Nothobranchius furzeri: one gene and its partner. The protein of the gene in region 1 interacts with the protein of each later gene in a biochemical or structural test. Links are inferred from orthologs where the notes say so. Each region holds a gene or a part of one and is shown in the gene's direction. Other genes may lie near its edges.

Evidence for each region.
Region 2: the proteins of atm (region 1) and rpa1 form a complex in vitro, tested with the Homo sapiens proteins (3 studies listed by BioGRID, with this or other methods). The link is inferred for Nothobranchius furzeri from reciprocal best matches to the Homo sapiens genes ATM and RPA1.

What each region holds. Positions count from the first base shown.
Region 1 is NC_091753.1:29,135,179-29,138,996, reverse strand, and holds part of atm (serine-protein kinase ATM), read left to right. Parts: intron 1-25; coding exon 26-158; intron 159-248; coding exon 249-344; intron 345-424; coding exon 425-596; intron 597-669; coding exon 670-811; intron 812-881; coding exon 882-1,058; intron 1,059-1,136; coding exon 1,137-1,314; intron 1,315-1,377; coding exon 1,378-1,486; intron 1,487-1,793; coding exon 1,794-1,952; intron 1,953-2,404; coding exon 2,405-2,513; intron 2,514-2,673; coding exon 2,674-2,762; intron 2,763-2,998; coding exon 2,999-3,101; intron 3,102-3,204; coding exon 3,205-3,353; intron 3,354-3,418; coding exon 3,419-3,523; intron 3,524-3,599; coding exon 3,600-3,719; intron 3,720-3,811; coding exon 3,812-3,818.
Region 2 is NC_091753.1:47,680,849-47,684,666, forward strand, and holds part of rpa1 (replication protein A 70 kDa DNA-binding subunit), read left to right. Parts: intron 1-642; coding exon 643-750; intron 751-860; coding exon 861-947; intron 948-3,785; coding exon 3,786-3,818. UniProt on the Homo sapiens protein: As part of the heterotrimeric replication protein A complex (RPA/RP-A), binds and stabilizes single-stranded DNA intermediates that form during DNA replication or upon DNA stress.

The sequences.
Region 1 (3,818 bases):
TTTTCCCACGTCTTTCTTGTTGCAGGAGATCCTGCACTTCCTGTCAGCGTCATCCTGCGGCTCTTTACGTCTGACCCGACTGGAGGGGTTAAAGGAGCTGACCCGACAGCTGCGTCACAACAAAGGACAGATTCAAGAGCTGCTCAGAGAGTGCCACGGTGGGATGCTGGAAAAGTGTTTCTGCATGAGTAAAATCACCTTTTGTGTTGTGTAACACTCACGTCTTCTCTCTCTGGCCTCGTGTGCAGCTAACCCTGCTGACAGTGTGTTGGTGAAGCTGGTTCTCGCTCTGTTGCAACTCTGCAAGCTAGCTGCCAGTTATCCTGAAGGAGATGACATTTTAGGTACCGGATCTGCTCATTTCTTGACTTCCGATGAGTTTTTATGTGATGTTTTTATTAAACAGACAGCTTTTGTCCTGCAGAGGCAGCAGGCAGCTGTTTGGGAGAACTGGGCCCAGTGGACTTCTCCACCATCGCCCTCCTCCACGGCAGGGACCCGCTCTACGAGAAGGCCGTGGCTCTTTTCACCTCCACTGAGTCACAGCAACTTTACATCATCCTGAACTGCATGAATGAGGCGCTCACGCAGCAGCGGTACCGTGGAAGCTGTGACTCTGGTTAAACGTTCTGCATTAAGTGTTTGGGTTTGATTGTTTTTGTCTGTTAGCATCGAGGTGAGGCGGGCAGCAGCTCAGTGTGTGAGGAACATCCTCGCCACGCAGTCTGGAGCTGATTTCTGGGACCAGCACAAAGACAACAGAGACCCCCTGCTGGTTTACCTCAATCCCTTTCGAACAGCCAAGAACAAGGTGGGTCGGGTTGAAACGGATTTCTTTGTTTGTGTTTTGGAGTTAAGAGTTGGTCTGTCTGGGTGACCAGGTGGCTGCTGTGGCTGCTGTGGAGAGCTCAGAAGCCAAGAAGAAGCTGGAGAGCCAGGAGTTCTGGTATCCCCAGGCAGGTAGACACCAGGCCTGGCTGAAGGCTCTGTGCACAGCTCTGCTGGACAGCGGGGGGGCCAAGAGTGAGGCTCTGCAGCTGTCCGGACCACTGTGTCAGGTGAGCGTGTGGACACGGTTACTCCCAAAACGGCTTCAGTCACCAAAACATCCGCCGGTTCGTTCGGTTTGTCTCCAGGTGACGGTGGACTGCTGCCAGAGGCTGCTGCCTCTCATCATCCACTCTGTCCTGCTGGAGGACCCCAGCGGGTCCTGGAGGGAGCTGCTGTCCTCCCACATCCGGGACTTCTTCAGTTTTTGTTCCAGAAGCGCTCAAACCACCAGTCGGTCCACCACACCTGCCAACTCTGACTCGGGTAGGTTTACAAACAAAAGAAAAAAGAAAAAGCTGATTTTTATTAATTAATTAATTTTTCCAGCAGAGTCTGACTCAGCCTGCCAGAACTTGTGTGACAAGGCGTCTCTGCGCACCATGCTCGCTGTGATCGACTATCTGAGACACCAGCAGCGACCGCTGGAGGCTGATAGGTTTGTGGGTGTTCTGATTCTTTTTTTAACCTGTAGAAAGCTCAGCTAGAACTTCCTCCAACGTCACTTCAAACTTGAGATTTTTTCGCCCATCAGACCTTAAATGCGACTGCCTCATACATAAAGAACTGTTGTAGCTGCTCTGTTTTAGTTTGCATGGATTACTGTACCACCTCTATGGGTGAAGGTCCTGCAGCTGTGTTTGAAAGCACCATAGAATATATCTGTTAACATGATGGTCCAGGAGGACTTCCCATTCCGCCGCGTTCTTGTTGTAGTTCCTGAATCCCTGTCGTTATTCCTGCAGTAACTCCTGTGGCACGGTGTGTGACTCCAACTTCTGGCTGGACCTGAACTACCTGGAGGTGGCCCGAGCTGCTCAGTCCTGCTCCGCCCACTTCACCGCTCTGCTCTACTCGGAGATCTACGTCGACAAGATCAAAGCCAACATGGAGGAGAGGCGCAGGTAATCCCCAGATTTATCACGCTCGCTGAATAATGAAACATGGCGTTCTTAATTTGAGCAATCCTGCTTTAATTCTATTGGTTTTCATCACCAGATGATATTGATTTAAAACTCCGGCGTAAAACGTTGGAGGTGATATGCGTTCCTTCAAGGAACCTGGGTCTTGAATAGACGCGTGACATGAAGTTAGCTGGCAACTGGAATCAGTTTGATCAGTCTGAATCTCAGAAATATGAATTTTTTTCTTGTGAGCCTGTGAACTCACGTTGCTAAAGCGCTAATTCAGGCTAGCAGTACCAACACTTCCATGTGGACGTTTTCCCTCCCAGAATCAGGATTTTTAAGGTGATCAGGTGCATTGGCATTCAAAGCCAGGACTGATGCCTTTTCCAGTCTCAAGTGTTTAATTTAAAGATAAAAATGTTGTTGTTGGATTTATTGAACAAATGAAGGTCCAAGTCCAGAGCAACACGAAAGATCAATTTTGAGGACGACAGCCAGAACGTCACCATCTTCAGTCTGACTGAGAGGAGCATGGAGGACACCAACATCAGTCTGCAGGTCTGCTCTGCCGCTAACATGCGTTTCCTAAAAATGTAGCTGGAATTTAAAGTCACAGATTTAAAAGTGAAGCTTGGCTTTTGTTTTGTAGCTTGTTCTACTGTCATAAATCTTTAACAAAAGCCTTGTTTTCCCCCTCGTCTCCCTCTGGCTGCTCCAGGATCTGCTGATTGAGGTGTATCGCAGCATTGGAGAGCCTGACAGTCTGTACGGCTGTGGAGGAGACACCACGAGCAGCTCACTGACCCGGTGAGCTGCTTTTATTATCGTAACTGAGGGTTTTACCAACCTTCAATCCTACACAATAAGTCAAAAACAGCAGAATCTTATTTTAAAAAAAAGCTTAATAATACTGTTTGAGACCTTTATTGTGAAGGGCTGAAGAAAGTTCTGCTGACACTAGGCTTAAAAAACGACTTTGGGCTCTGGTGCACCAACATACCGTACAGTGTTTGATCAGAATGTTTTCACACGTTGGTCTACAGGATTCGGACGTACGAACACGAGGCTCTTTGGGGGAAGGCCCTGGCTTCATACGACCTTCAGTCTACTCTGCCTGAAGTCACTCGGCTGGTGGGAATCGTGGAGGTAAGGCGGTTAAAGCTGCTGCACTAAATAAATGTATGTAAGAGTAGGAAGAAGCTGTGTAGTTGCCAGTCTGAAAGGCTTCTGATGAGACATGTGGCACCAGGGCCTGCAGAACTTTGGTCTGAGCAGCGTCCTGGCCACCTACCTGAGGGGTTTGGAGAGCCAAGGGGTGGAGTGGGGGCCTGAGCTGCGAGAGCTGCGCTTCCAGGCGGCCTGGAGGAACGCCCAGTGGGACTGTGAGCTGTCAAACAGGTGAGGAGCAAAGAAATGATCTGATTTGGTGAATTTTAATTCACTGACCTGTTCTGCTGTAATAGGAGTGACGAATCCAACCCCGGCTTCCATGAATCAGTGTTTTGTGCCCTGCAAGCGCTGAGAGACAAAGAATTTCTCATTTTTGATGAAACTCTGAGACAAACCAGGTACAGTTGATGCATAAATAATCCAGTTTGTTCCCAAATATTCTCCAAGTTAACGCTAAAATGTGCATTTTTGCAGGGGTGCAGCAGTGGAGGAGCTCTGCAGAGGGAGTCTGGAGGCGGTGTCGTCTCTGTACCCGGCTCTCAGGGACTTGCAGAGCATCGGGGAGCTGGAGAGCATCAGACAGCTCTTCTCCAGGTGGGTAAAAGTCAAGAAAATGGAGCCAGTGAAACAAGAATGTATGAGCCAGATGAAGATCAACACTAAGGGTTTAAAATCTTTCCTGCCAGGCCCTTC
Region 2 (3,818 bases), about 19 Mb from region 1:
AGATTTAAATTCCAATGCAGTGCAGAGTTTTTACCCGACGACGGTGCAACACTGACAGTTTTAGGCAGAATATTTAAATTTTAACTAAAATGCACTGAAGTACCAAATTATTGACCACACATGTCTGCAGCACAATTAGACACACATTTATATAGTTTATCAGCAAAAAAAAAAGTTGATTTGGGGGTGACTTGCTCTTTAAGATTGCTTTAAGGCATTGTTGGGTTAAAGAGCGCAGAAGAACACAAAGCCGTTTCCAGAAACCTCCACTCAAATAACCTTTTATTAACAACAATCTCAGTAGCAAAACCATAAAAGCCAGTAGCTTTTGTTTAGTGCCTCTCACCATGTGACATATTGTTCCTTACAAGCTGAAAAATAAGCTGTGAAGCTGCTTCCACTGTGTGTGTGCGTGTGTGTGTGTGCGTGTGTGTGTGTGTGTGTGTGTGTGTGTGTGTGTGTGTGTGTGTGTGTGTGTGTGTGTGTGTGTGTGTGTGTGTGGGGCAACCGTGCTTCACAAGGCTTCCCAGCAGCAGCTACCCTCACCCCAAAAGAAATCACACTTAAAAATGAAAAGTATCATGATAAATTCACCTCAGGGTTGCCTGATTGTCATCTTTCTGGTTGTTTTTTCTCTGTCAGGCTAACATTGCAGATTACACCGACAACCAGTGGGTGACTTGCTTCCAGGAGAGCGCAGAGGCCATTCTGGGCCAGAATGCAGCTTACCTGGGCCAGCTCAGGGACTCGGTGAGACTCTTCCACAATATTCAACGGAATTCAAATGTGCTCAAGTTTTTATCTATTGGACATGATTTGCTTTGAGTGTATTAAAGCATTTGTATTTGTCCTGATGTCAGAGTGAAGCTGCGTTGGACGAAGTCTTCCAGCAATCAAATTTCAACACGTTTGTCTTTCGTAACCGAGTGAAACTGGAAACGTACAACGTGAGTAAAAAACAACCTGGGTTTTATTAGCACGGCTGTCTTGTAAAAGCTGATTGTCCCAGAATACTGGTGGTCTCTCTCAAACACGCACGCACGCACACACACACACACACACACACACACACACACACACACACACAGCCTAGCTGCGGTCACTGTTTCCTGTAGGCCACACAGATGAAGCCTTGTTTGGAAGGAAACATAAAAGAATTGATTGGGCTGGGACTCTGAGCAGGAAGTTTGGGTCCGGGCCAGAGGCAGCATCCGCCTTCAACACACAGAAGAGGCCACTGTGTGCATCTCAGTCAGCCAGCATCCTAACTGCCAAGGGCGCTGCTAACAAGCGTGTATTAGCCCGTGCTCCAGACACCAGTTTACTCCAGCAGACACCTGTGACACGTCTTTCGGTTCATTTACTCATTCAAAGCCACTACCTAGGTCGTGTGAGCCTTGTCCTCCATGTTTATGGTCTGTTTACACTCTAGGAGTCTCTGGGTAATTGAACCAGACCTTCTCAGCGTGTTTTTATTTTACCGGGCCGTTTCAGTGACAGACTGAGTACCTGGACTTAGGGTTGTCACGGTAACCGGTGTAGCAGTAAACCCCGGTAAAAAAAGTTGACAATAATAACTGTCTTGTTTAAAAAAAAAAATCTTGTTGGGTTTACCGTGGCTGCGGTGTAGGCGCAGTGACCCTTACCAGCCACCGTATCATCTGCTGAAGTTGCCGGCGGCACATGCGCACTTTGTTGTTTACAACCAAAACTTTCTTGAAGCTAAAGCTGAAATAATGGCCAAAGGAGGAGACGGCAGCGCTCAGGACATTTATTATCCCTCAAGGAAGACAAAGTGGGAAGTACGGGCATTTTTTGGATATTTGAAGAATGCCGAGGGACAGTTGATAGAAGACGGCTATCCTGTTTGCAGCACGTGCAGAAAAAGTGTCTGTGGAAGGCAGCAACGCTTCAAATCTCATGACACATCTGCGTGACCATCACCCACAACGCTACAGTCAACGCAAGGCAAGCTAACGTTAGCGTTTTAGCTAAAATGCGTGATCCGAGGATTTGGGTTGAGGGAGAATGCAACGAGTCGCTATATAAAGCAGCCGCAGCGCCGCTACCTGCATATAAACCGTGTCGCGGACACCCCCATGTTGAAATGACGCTATGCATTACGGGGCTCCCAGGGGCAGATAAGAGTTGGTCTCTCTCCCAGAATAATTATGAATTTAACAATGATTACTGCCTGATGACATTTCCCCACATCTGCAAAGCTCACTGGAAGAACACAAACTGAGGACAATATTTCCTGATATAGGGTTTATTACTCAAGTAAGGGTAAAAAAAAAGTATCTGATTAGAAGGCTACTTGAGTACTGAGTATCATCTGATCTAATATTTTTAAAAAGATGACATCAAACAGACAAAATAAGAAGTTATGGGCAAATATTGGTATTTTAAAGACCAAAAGTAAAAAATGTAAACAAATAAACAACATAATTACAAAATAACACATTTTAGGCTAAATTTGGACACAAACTGAGGACAATATTTTCCTGACATACAGGGTTTATGTAGTTGTCTGAAAATGTAACACGTTTAAAAAAATACCGCGATAATACCGAAAACCGTGATCATTTTGGTCACGATAACCGTGAGGTAATGTTTCCACACCGTGACACCCCTACCTGGACTAGAATATGCCCCCGGACGGTCAATGACCAGACTTGAGTGCCATTTTTTTATGGTGCTCTGTAGCGGACCATTAGGTGGCAAAAATGAGGGTGTTGTGGAGGATTTCTGCCACATTTTTTAGTTTTAGGAATTTAGAATTGGTGATTTTTAATGCAGCATAAACGCTGCTCATTTTTCTTTCCTACGATTCTGCTCCACCAGCATAAGGGTTGATTGGCAACCTCTTGTCGATGTGATTTCCTACTGAGTTACAACCAATCAGCAAGATTTGACCACAACTGGCGCCGGCGACTCTTCCGGGCTTTTTCCAAAGAGAGTTCTGATAGTGGAAACATGGCTTTTGTAGAACTTTTTGTTTTCATTTTTAATTCACTAGAATAGTTTTTGCATTTGTAAACATGTGATGTTGTTAGTTCAGAGCTTTTGTGAGTTGTAATTACAACTATTTAAAGTAATTTGGGATAAGTACCGTGTTTTACTTTTAGAAACTGGTATTTATCTTTTTTATTATTTTTTTTAATTCTGGCAAACATTCATTATGGTTAGGACTGGGCAGGGTTACCCAGGCCTTAAATGAGTTTTTAGGTTACAGATGAATCGAAAACCATCAATATATTTATATATATATGTATATATATATATATATTTAGCATAAAATGCTTCTCCATTTTTCTTCATCCGAAACAAACGAGCAATAAGACGCTTCGTAAGGAAAGTAGGCATCAGTCCAAGCGATGGCGGGTTACGTTTTAGCCACTTCAGCAACAGAGATTTAATGGAGAAAAATTGAGCGTAACCTCTGTTTAAATGCAGGGGTAAATGGCCCTGAGAGAAATCACCACCTCATGTCTAGACAGCTGTGGAAGCTAAATGCCATCACACTTCACATACCGCATCCAAGCGCGCTGCACGGGAGGATGCTCGCGTTTGTCCACCGCTGCTTATAAATTCTATGTGAACATTTCGTATTGCTGCGTAATAAAGGGTAATGGAGCATATTGTGTTTGGTAAATACCACACCCTGAATGCTCTGGCTAATGCACAGAAATGCACCTTAAATGGGAAGATGTGACTTTTTCTAATATCAAAAATAACTTTTGTAAAAAAGTTGTTTATTTTTTTCTTTTGTGTGTGTTTGGCAGGATGAGTCCAGAGTAAAAGCCACAGTGTTCGAT